Oryzias latipes: one gene and its partner. The protein of the gene in region 1 purifies or fractionates together with the protein of each later gene. This does not show direct contact. Links are inferred from orthologs where the notes say so. Each region holds a gene or a part of one and is shown on either strand. Other genes may lie near its edges.

What was found. The genes of interacting proteins can lie anywhere in the genome.
Region 2: the proteins of nup98 (region 1) and nup62 purify together in Homo sapiens (affinity purification with western blotting; 3 studies listed by BioGRID and IntAct, with this or other methods). This does not show direct contact. The link is inferred for Oryzias latipes from reciprocal best matches to the Homo sapiens genes NUP98 and NUP62.

What each region holds. Positions count from the first base shown.
Region 1 is NC_019872.2:23,879,059-23,882,709, forward strand, and holds part of nup98 (nuclear pore complex protein Nup98-Nup96), read right to left. Parts: intron 3,625-3,651; coding exon 3,487-3,624; intron 3,311-3,486; coding exon 3,178-3,310; intron 2,767-3,177; coding exon 2,674-2,766; intron 1,832-2,673; coding exon 1,694-1,831; intron 1,619-1,693; coding exon 1,485-1,618; intron 1,408-1,484; coding exon 1,220-1,407; intron 1-1,219. UniProt on the Homo sapiens protein: Plays a role in the nuclear pore complex (NPC) assembly and/or maintenance. NUP98 and NUP96 are involved in the bidirectional transport across the NPC. May anchor NUP153 and TPR to the NPC.
Region 2 is NC_019879.2:22,073,818-22,077,823, forward strand, and holds nup62 (nuclear pore glycoprotein p62), read right to left. Parts: upstream 2,765-4,006; 5' UTR 2,449-2,764; coding exon 946-2,448; intron 852-945; coding exon 693-851; 3' UTR 539-692; downstream 1-538. Other genes in the region: pdk1 (pyruvate dehydrogenase (acetyl-transferring) kinase isozyme 1, mitochondrial), read left to right, coding at 3,658-3,766, 3,910-4,006. UniProt on the Homo sapiens protein: Essential component of the nuclear pore complex. The N-terminal is probably involved in nucleocytoplasmic transport.

The DNA of each region.
Region 1 (3,651 bases):
TCCTGGACAGGTCCCAGCCCCCCAGCCACAAATCACACACACTCACACATAGAGACAATTTAGAGCCAGTTTTATGCCAGCTTCACCATATGCAGTATCATCAAAAGTCGATGCAGCAAAATGCAAGATCTGATGAACATCCAGTTCTTTCCAGAAGGACCAATGAGAGAGCAGGAGAGCATTCAAGTTTCTTTAGTTGACTTTTGGAGGGATTTAAAAGTTTCTGTTTCTTCTCAGTTCACAGACAAAGCCAAGCTTTCCTTACTATTCTGATAGTTGACGAGAAACTTGTGGGGGTGCGGACAAAGAGAGAGAGGGGGGGGGGGCTTTCTCCATTTGGGGGCCTTACTGGCGGATCCGCCACCCTTCGCAGAAAAAGATCCATTTGGTCCAGTTTTCACAGAACATAACCCTACAAGAGCCACAAAATCTCTTCCCCATTTAGAAAACTACTCTTCACTTGTTTGGCCATTAAGCCACTCATTTATAGAATGCAGGTTCTAAATCTTTACAATAGGTGAATAAGAACAGCGTTAGATTTTCTATATATAACATTTAACTTGCAGCACATTAAAGTTCCTTTTTTAAATAAAATACACTTCATGTCAAATAAGACCCTCCTCCTGCAGATTTGCGTGAAATAAAAAGGCTTCTGTTATTGTGTCATCCTTTCACTTCTTGTACTATCAAATGCAAACATGGCAGCATTGGTGTAAAGTTCAATGTTTAAATGCAATTCTATACTTTAAGACCCTCTAAACAACAACTAGACCCTGTTGTTGAGCAGAAGATCAGAGCATGTGAAACCAATTCTAATAATAAACTACTGCCAGTCCATTAAACCTTTCCGTGCTCTGACATGTTACAAATCTAAAAACAAATGAACCCAAACTACAAACCTGTTCTTTATTCAAAGTACTAGCATTTTTTAAAACAATGCAGCTAGTGGGGCTTTAATTTGGTTTATGTACAGTTTTTTTTTTTAACTATTGGAACGTTTACATGTGCATAAGTTGAGTCAGAAATGTAAGTACTTTCCATTCCCAAGGCTTCTCTCGGAATGGGAATTATTTCCAGACCCTCGAATTCCTTTTGCTCAGGGGCAGAAAGGTTTTTTTTTCATGCCCTACTGGACAGTGTTAGATTGATTGACATCATCATTTCTCTGATGGCGGCAAGGACCACGGCAGCTCATACGGTGTTACCGTGGAAACAGTACCTGGGAACAAAGGCTCCGTTGGTGAGTGAAGGCTCGTCGTCATCCAGACCGTCGAACAGCTGCGACTTTGAAGCTCCAGCAGATGTGAGCGCTTTGGGTCGAACTCTGGTGGCGGGTCTGGGGGTCAGCTTGTAGTGAGTGGGCGTGGTCAGAGCTTTCTGAGCCGTGGGATTTGTGGGTTTCAGACGCTGTCAGAAATAAAGCAGATGTGATCTGAAACTGTAAAGTTTACACTTTTTGGTCAAAGTGTCGAGCCTTTGTGTACCTCCTCCTTTTTCTTGGGGTCCGACAGCGGGTTCCTGAACAATGGCGAGTCTCCGTACGGCGAGTATGCCAGGATGTTCAGCTGCTGCTGGAGCATGGCCTGCTGAGCGGCGTTGGCGTTTGGATCGGTAAGCGCTGTGCAGATAGGTCAGACAGGGACTGTAGCGTCTGAACAGGCATTTGCGTTCATTAATCAGGGCATCGTCTTACCGACAGGCTGCTGCTGCGGTCCGAAGCCCAGCGAGCTCGTCCCGGTGTTGAAACCCGTTGTTCCGAAGGCTCCCATTGTTCCCAGCGAGGTGCCCAGTTTGTTTTGGGTGTTTCCAAATAGACTGGTTCCTGCTCCCACTGTGAGAAACACAAAAGTGCAGCAAGAAGGTGTAAGATTCTAAAACCCACCAGAACCTTTGACATATAAAGATAATCTATTAAATCTGAGGATGATTTAAAAAAAATACATAAAAAAACTAATGTCCCAGAGAAGCAGAGCCATCAGAGAAATGTTCCAATGGAAACTTTTATTTTGAAAATCAAAGGTCATATACTAATACCTTTTTCTGTTGGCAAACACTTCCTGTTTGCTGGATGCCAATTTTTCTATAGCTGTGCTTTTTTTATTCGAACACTAAAAAATTGTAATAATGCAAAGATTAAAAAAAAATAGTGTCTGTATGCATTACATGATTTCTTAAGTTACTTTGTATCAGACACGGTTGTGTTTCACATGCCTGACATGTTTCGGCGGAAGCTCTTCCGCCTTCATTAGAGTCGTCATCAGGTAATGGTGAAGTATTTAAAAACAGGTGATTGTGGCTGAGGCGGAGTCACCTGTCAAACTTTAACAAGCGACTCTGCCTCAGTCACTGTTTTGCCCTTTGAGGCACTTGTGATGGTCATTATGATTCTGGAATCATAATATTTAATGAATCTATTAAATATGCATAACTGTAAAAACGTCAATTTATGATTATGAGTAAAAGTGTCAAGAAGATAGTACCATTTCATAAGATCTTTGTAAATTTTCTTTACATTATAATTAATGTGTAACCTGATATCTAAAAATAGAATTGATGTGTTTTGTTTTGCCCTTTTTTATTGCAGAATTAAATTATTTTTATGCCTATAATAAATAGTTTAAATTAAAATCAAAACTGAGCTTTTTAAGGCCAAGATTCTGTTTCTATGGTTACCTGTCCCAAAGCTGGTTCCCAGTCCAGTCCCCAGGGCTCCAGTGGTTGCTTTGTTGCCAAACAGACCCCCCCCTGCAGGGGACGCTCCAAAACCTACAGACACAAAAGTCAAATGATTAATTTTCGTAAAAAAAATGTAAATATATGATATATATATATATATATATATATTATATAAATAAAAAATTTGGGGTTGCAGCAACAATCCATCAAATCTGAGTAACATACATATACACATACACATACATATATATGAATTAAAATTCAATTTTAAAGCTTTTTTTAAAGTAAAAATCAAAGTAGAGTTCCTTTTTAATGTTCGAAAATAAAGTTTAATATTTTGTTGCATTAAAACTAATTTTACAAAAAACAATTCAAAGAATGTATAGGATGGAATATTATATTGAGTCGTAGCAGAATGGAAAGACCCAGAGTTCACCCTAATAAAAACACAGCATTTAGGCCGGGCCCTGAACACAACAGGAGGTCCATGAAAACACTCACCGAAACTAGTGGGGTTGGTTCCGGTTCCCAGAGTCAAAGGTTTGGCCCCAAACATTCCAGTAGTGGTGCCAAAAGATGGGGCGCTGGTGGTGGTGGCACCAAACCCAGTGGCTTTGTTGCCAAACAAACTTGGCTGTAAGAGAACAGTCACACCTGTGAAACCAGAACCTTATGGAGAGCTTTTGTTCTGATGGGTTTTCCTCCAGGTCCCTAATTAACTTTTTTTACTTTCAGAATTCTGAAATTATTGTCAGAAGTTCATAAGGAAGCCTACTTTACTCTGACAGACATTTTGGATCTAGTTCTTACCTGCGTTCCAGCAGTTCCAAATCCTGAGCTGGGTTGTCCGAACAATCCAGTGCCCGTACCAAATCCTGTGGCTGTGCTGGTCTGCGTCAAGCCAAACAAACCCCCCGGCTGGGAAGCCGCAGTGTTTCCGAACATGCCCTGAAGAATCGCAAACATTTTTCAGAA
Region 2 (4,006 bases), on another chromosome or scaffold:
TGCTAAAAAGACTGTTTTTATGGGTGTAACTGCTTCTTTTTGTCATATATAAAACAATTTAAAGAATTATTTCTAATGAATCTTCCTTTTCTATATAAAAAAAAAAACATCTTCAGCTTCTCCGTAAATTAAGTTTAAAACATTGTTTTGACAAAACTCAAACAAATGCTGAAGTCAATTCCCCTTCAAACGAGTGTCATAGCAAAAACATCCTAATTGAAAATCCACCTTGCAAGTATTAACCCTTGTGCTATCCTAGGCACTTTAACATTGGGAGTGGGGTCATCTAGACCCACTAGACAGTGCGCTGAACCTTTTTTCTTCAATGATTTGTGATCTTCACTGGTGTCCATGGATTACATGAAATCTTTCCACCTTTGTCATGGTAGGGAGAACACGTCAATGTAAGGGTGGGGTCATCTAAGATAGCACAAGGGGTAACATCAGTCTTAGAACAAGAAACAAATCTTGTCATTAGATGTTTTTCAATCCTAAATATAGATAAAAAACAGGTAAAATTAGGATGTGAAAACACAAAAAAGTTCAAAATTTGTTTTTAATCATTCTATTCAGGTAGATACAATTATAAAGATGATTGCATTTAAAATAGTTTTGCAACACACAATAGAAGTATAATAAAGGAGAAAATCCAAAGCAAAATGGGAAAAATAAGCACTGAGCCAAAAAACAAATCAGTCAAAGGTTAGACGAAAGGTCTTCTCCTGCTCTTTGCGCTGGGTGTCGCACTGTTTGGACACTTCCTCCACTCTTCTGTGCAGCAGGACAGAGTTCTGGTCGATCCACTGCAGCGAATCCATGTGAGCATTCAGGATCTTGCAAATCTGCTGAAGCTAAAGGATTCAAAAAGAAAGGAAGGCGATTAAAACAGCAGAAGACTTGATTTTATGAGAAATATGATTTAAAAAAAAAAGGCTCAGATCTTACTGGATCACTGGTGTCTGCCGGCCCGCTGGATGTGTTCAGGTGCTCAATGATCTCCTTCAGGTCCTGTGACATCCTCTTCAGCTGGGCGTCCACGTTCTCAGCGAGCTTGTATGTTCTTTCGCGTTCCTCGTCTGCGTTCTGCATGTAGATGGTTCCGCTCTGCTCCTTCACAGTCTCTTCCAGAGGGCAAAGCAAGTCCTCCAGCTCCTTCTGCTGGGACAGAATGAAATCGAGCTCCTGGTTGAGCCTTCTCTGGTCCAGCTTCACCTTCTCCATCTCCTTATGCAGAGACGTGATCTTTTCCCCGTTCTCCACCAGCATTCTGTCCCAAGCGTTGACCTGAGTTGCCTGCTGTAAGAAATGCCTCTCTTGGTCCTGAAGTTCAAGACTCCACTTGTTTATGAGACCCTCCAGCTGGGCGTAGGTCATCACCGGAGGGGCCGTGGTGGTGGTTGTAACGGCTGTTGCTGTGGAGGCTGTTGTGGAGCTTGAGATGGTCGGAGGTTTGAATCCCAGCGTGAAGCCTGCGGTGGCATTAGCTGTGACAGCTGCAGTTGTTGTGGTGGTGGTGGAGCCGGTGTTTGCTGCTGTGCTGGCAACGGACCCCAGAGGCTTGAGCATGAAGGATGGAGCTGTACCTGCAGCTGTGGATGCTGCCATGCTGGTTGACAACGCTGGAGCTGCACCCAAAGTAAAACCTGAAGTTGGCGCTGCTGCAGAGGTTGTGATGATAGGTGACGCAAACAGAGACAGGCCTAGGGTGGGGGCTGACTGGGTGGGGGCTGACTGGGTGGATGCGGGAGGAGCTGGTGTTGATGAGGGTTTAATTCCGAAGTTAAACCCTCCACCCTGGGTTGGAGCTGCTGGAGCTGCAGCTGCTGGGGCTGGCTGGGTGAGGGTGGAGGGGGCAGGGGTCCCGAAGCTGAAGCCTCCTCCCCCCGCTGCGATGGTTGTGCTTGCAGCTGAGGTCACCTGGACTTTCGGCGCTCCGAAGCTGAACCCTCCGAAAGCCATGCCACCTGATGCGGTGGTTGTTGTAGGTGCAACTGTCGCTGCGGGTGGGGCCTGGGAGGTAGCCCCAAAGTTGAAGCCCCCTCCCGCTGGAGCGGCGCTGTTCGTCTGCGAAGACAACATCCCGCCCAGGGTGAAGCCGGACCCCGCAGCTGGAGCGGCCGAGGAGCCTAAGGTCAACCCAGTGGCGGCGGTGGTTTGGGTAGTCGTGGCCAGGCCGAACGTGCCGGTGGCGGCGGCGGCGTTGGGTGTGCCAAAGGAGAAGCCGGTGCCGCCGGCGGAAGAGTTCTTAGCCGGTGCGCCAAAACTGAAGCCACCGGTCGGGTTGGCGTTGGTCTGACTCTGAGTCGGAGTGCCAAAAGAGAAGCCCGTTCCCGAAGCCGCAGCCGTGGAGTTCGTTAAACTGAAGCCCGGGGCCGGAGCGGCCGCTGTGGTCTTCTGCGCTCCGAAGGCAAAACCCGAAGGTTGCCCGAAGTTGAATCCGCCACTCATGTTCTTCCTCTGATAAAAACAAAATGACTTTACAGCTTACGAACAAAATGGTATCTTTCACCACAGTTTTTGGCGGGTCGCTAGCACGAGCTGCCGGTTCAACTAGCTTCACCGAAGAAAAACCGTCTAATGAGAGGACTTCTTACGTTAGCCACGGATATTTTAAATCATAGTCTAATAACTAATTCTTTCACTGTGCCGGTAAATATAATAATACTAGCGAAGCATCTTTAAAAAAAACGTGGGTAACTGACCAAACGTTTCTTTGAGCATACTTTCTGTTGTAGCTAAAGGAAGTGACGCCACTTTCAACATGCAATTTTGCCCTCAATTCTGTCTGTCAGAGAAAAAGCCCCACCCTCTAGTTTAGATTGACATCCTTAACACCAAATTACTGTGCCGAAATGAAAAATGCTGACATTTGATTGGTTTTTATTTTTTAACCTTACAGACAAGCACTGGGGATCAGAGCGACGGCATTTCAACCAGTCAAAGAGTTAATAGAGGACAAGAGATGCACAGAACGCACTTTTTAGTGTCGTAGATATGAACTACATGTTAATAATTCCTCTTGCATTTTGCTAAATAATTAAAATTATATAAATTCGTTTTGTTGTTAAACGCTTTAAAGTAAAACAACATATATTTTATTTGTCACGCAAATATGTATTACTTTCTACATTAGTGGTGTTTTTAGCGGTCTAATCTAACCCATCTGATATGCGGGTTAGGAACCAAAAGTGATCAATTTGTAGGTGGCGAACATCCCAAAAGTTGTATTCCAACCACCATAAAATAAAAGCAGAAGAATAATCTATTTAAATTGCATAAAAGTTGTCATCTTTATTTTATAAAGACTACTGCAAAATAGTTGCGTTGTTCTCTCGGCGTCGAATCAACTCTTTGAACTTGCTAGCTCAGCTGCGGAGTGGGTGCGTTTGCCGTGTTGACTTTTGACTGAATTTTACAGAGGACGTCCGAAGTGAGGGATGATGCTTTAGTCCGTCTGTGACCATGCCTGCAGCAGGAATTCAGTCCAAGTGGAAACACGGTCGATAATCGCAAACGTGCGGGCGAACTGCTGAGTTTAGCCAACAAGCTAGTGTGTCAACAAGCGTCACATATTTATTGTTGTGGCCGCGTGCGCCATAAGAATTCGGACGTGTCGTGTGTGTTTGAAATCTGATCAAGTCGAGGCCGGAGAGCAACATGAGGCTTTTAAGGTTCCTGAGGAAGAGCGTGGCGGTCGGGAAGGACATTGACTATTACTCAAAGTTTTCTCCTTCGCCTTTATCCATGAAGCAGTTTCTGGATTTTGGTAAAATGAATTTTAGATGCTTTAAATATAGTTGTAATTTACTCCCCCTCTCTCTATGTGTGTGTATTCTAGCTTATGGTTGGAATTTTAAAGGATACTTTAAAGTATTTTTGAAAGTCCTCCATGTTTTTGTCTTCCTTCAGGTTCTGAAAATGCATGTGAGAAAACATCCTTCGCCTTCCTCAGACAAGAGCTCCCTGTGAGGCTGGCAAACATCATGAAGGAAATTAATTTGCTGCC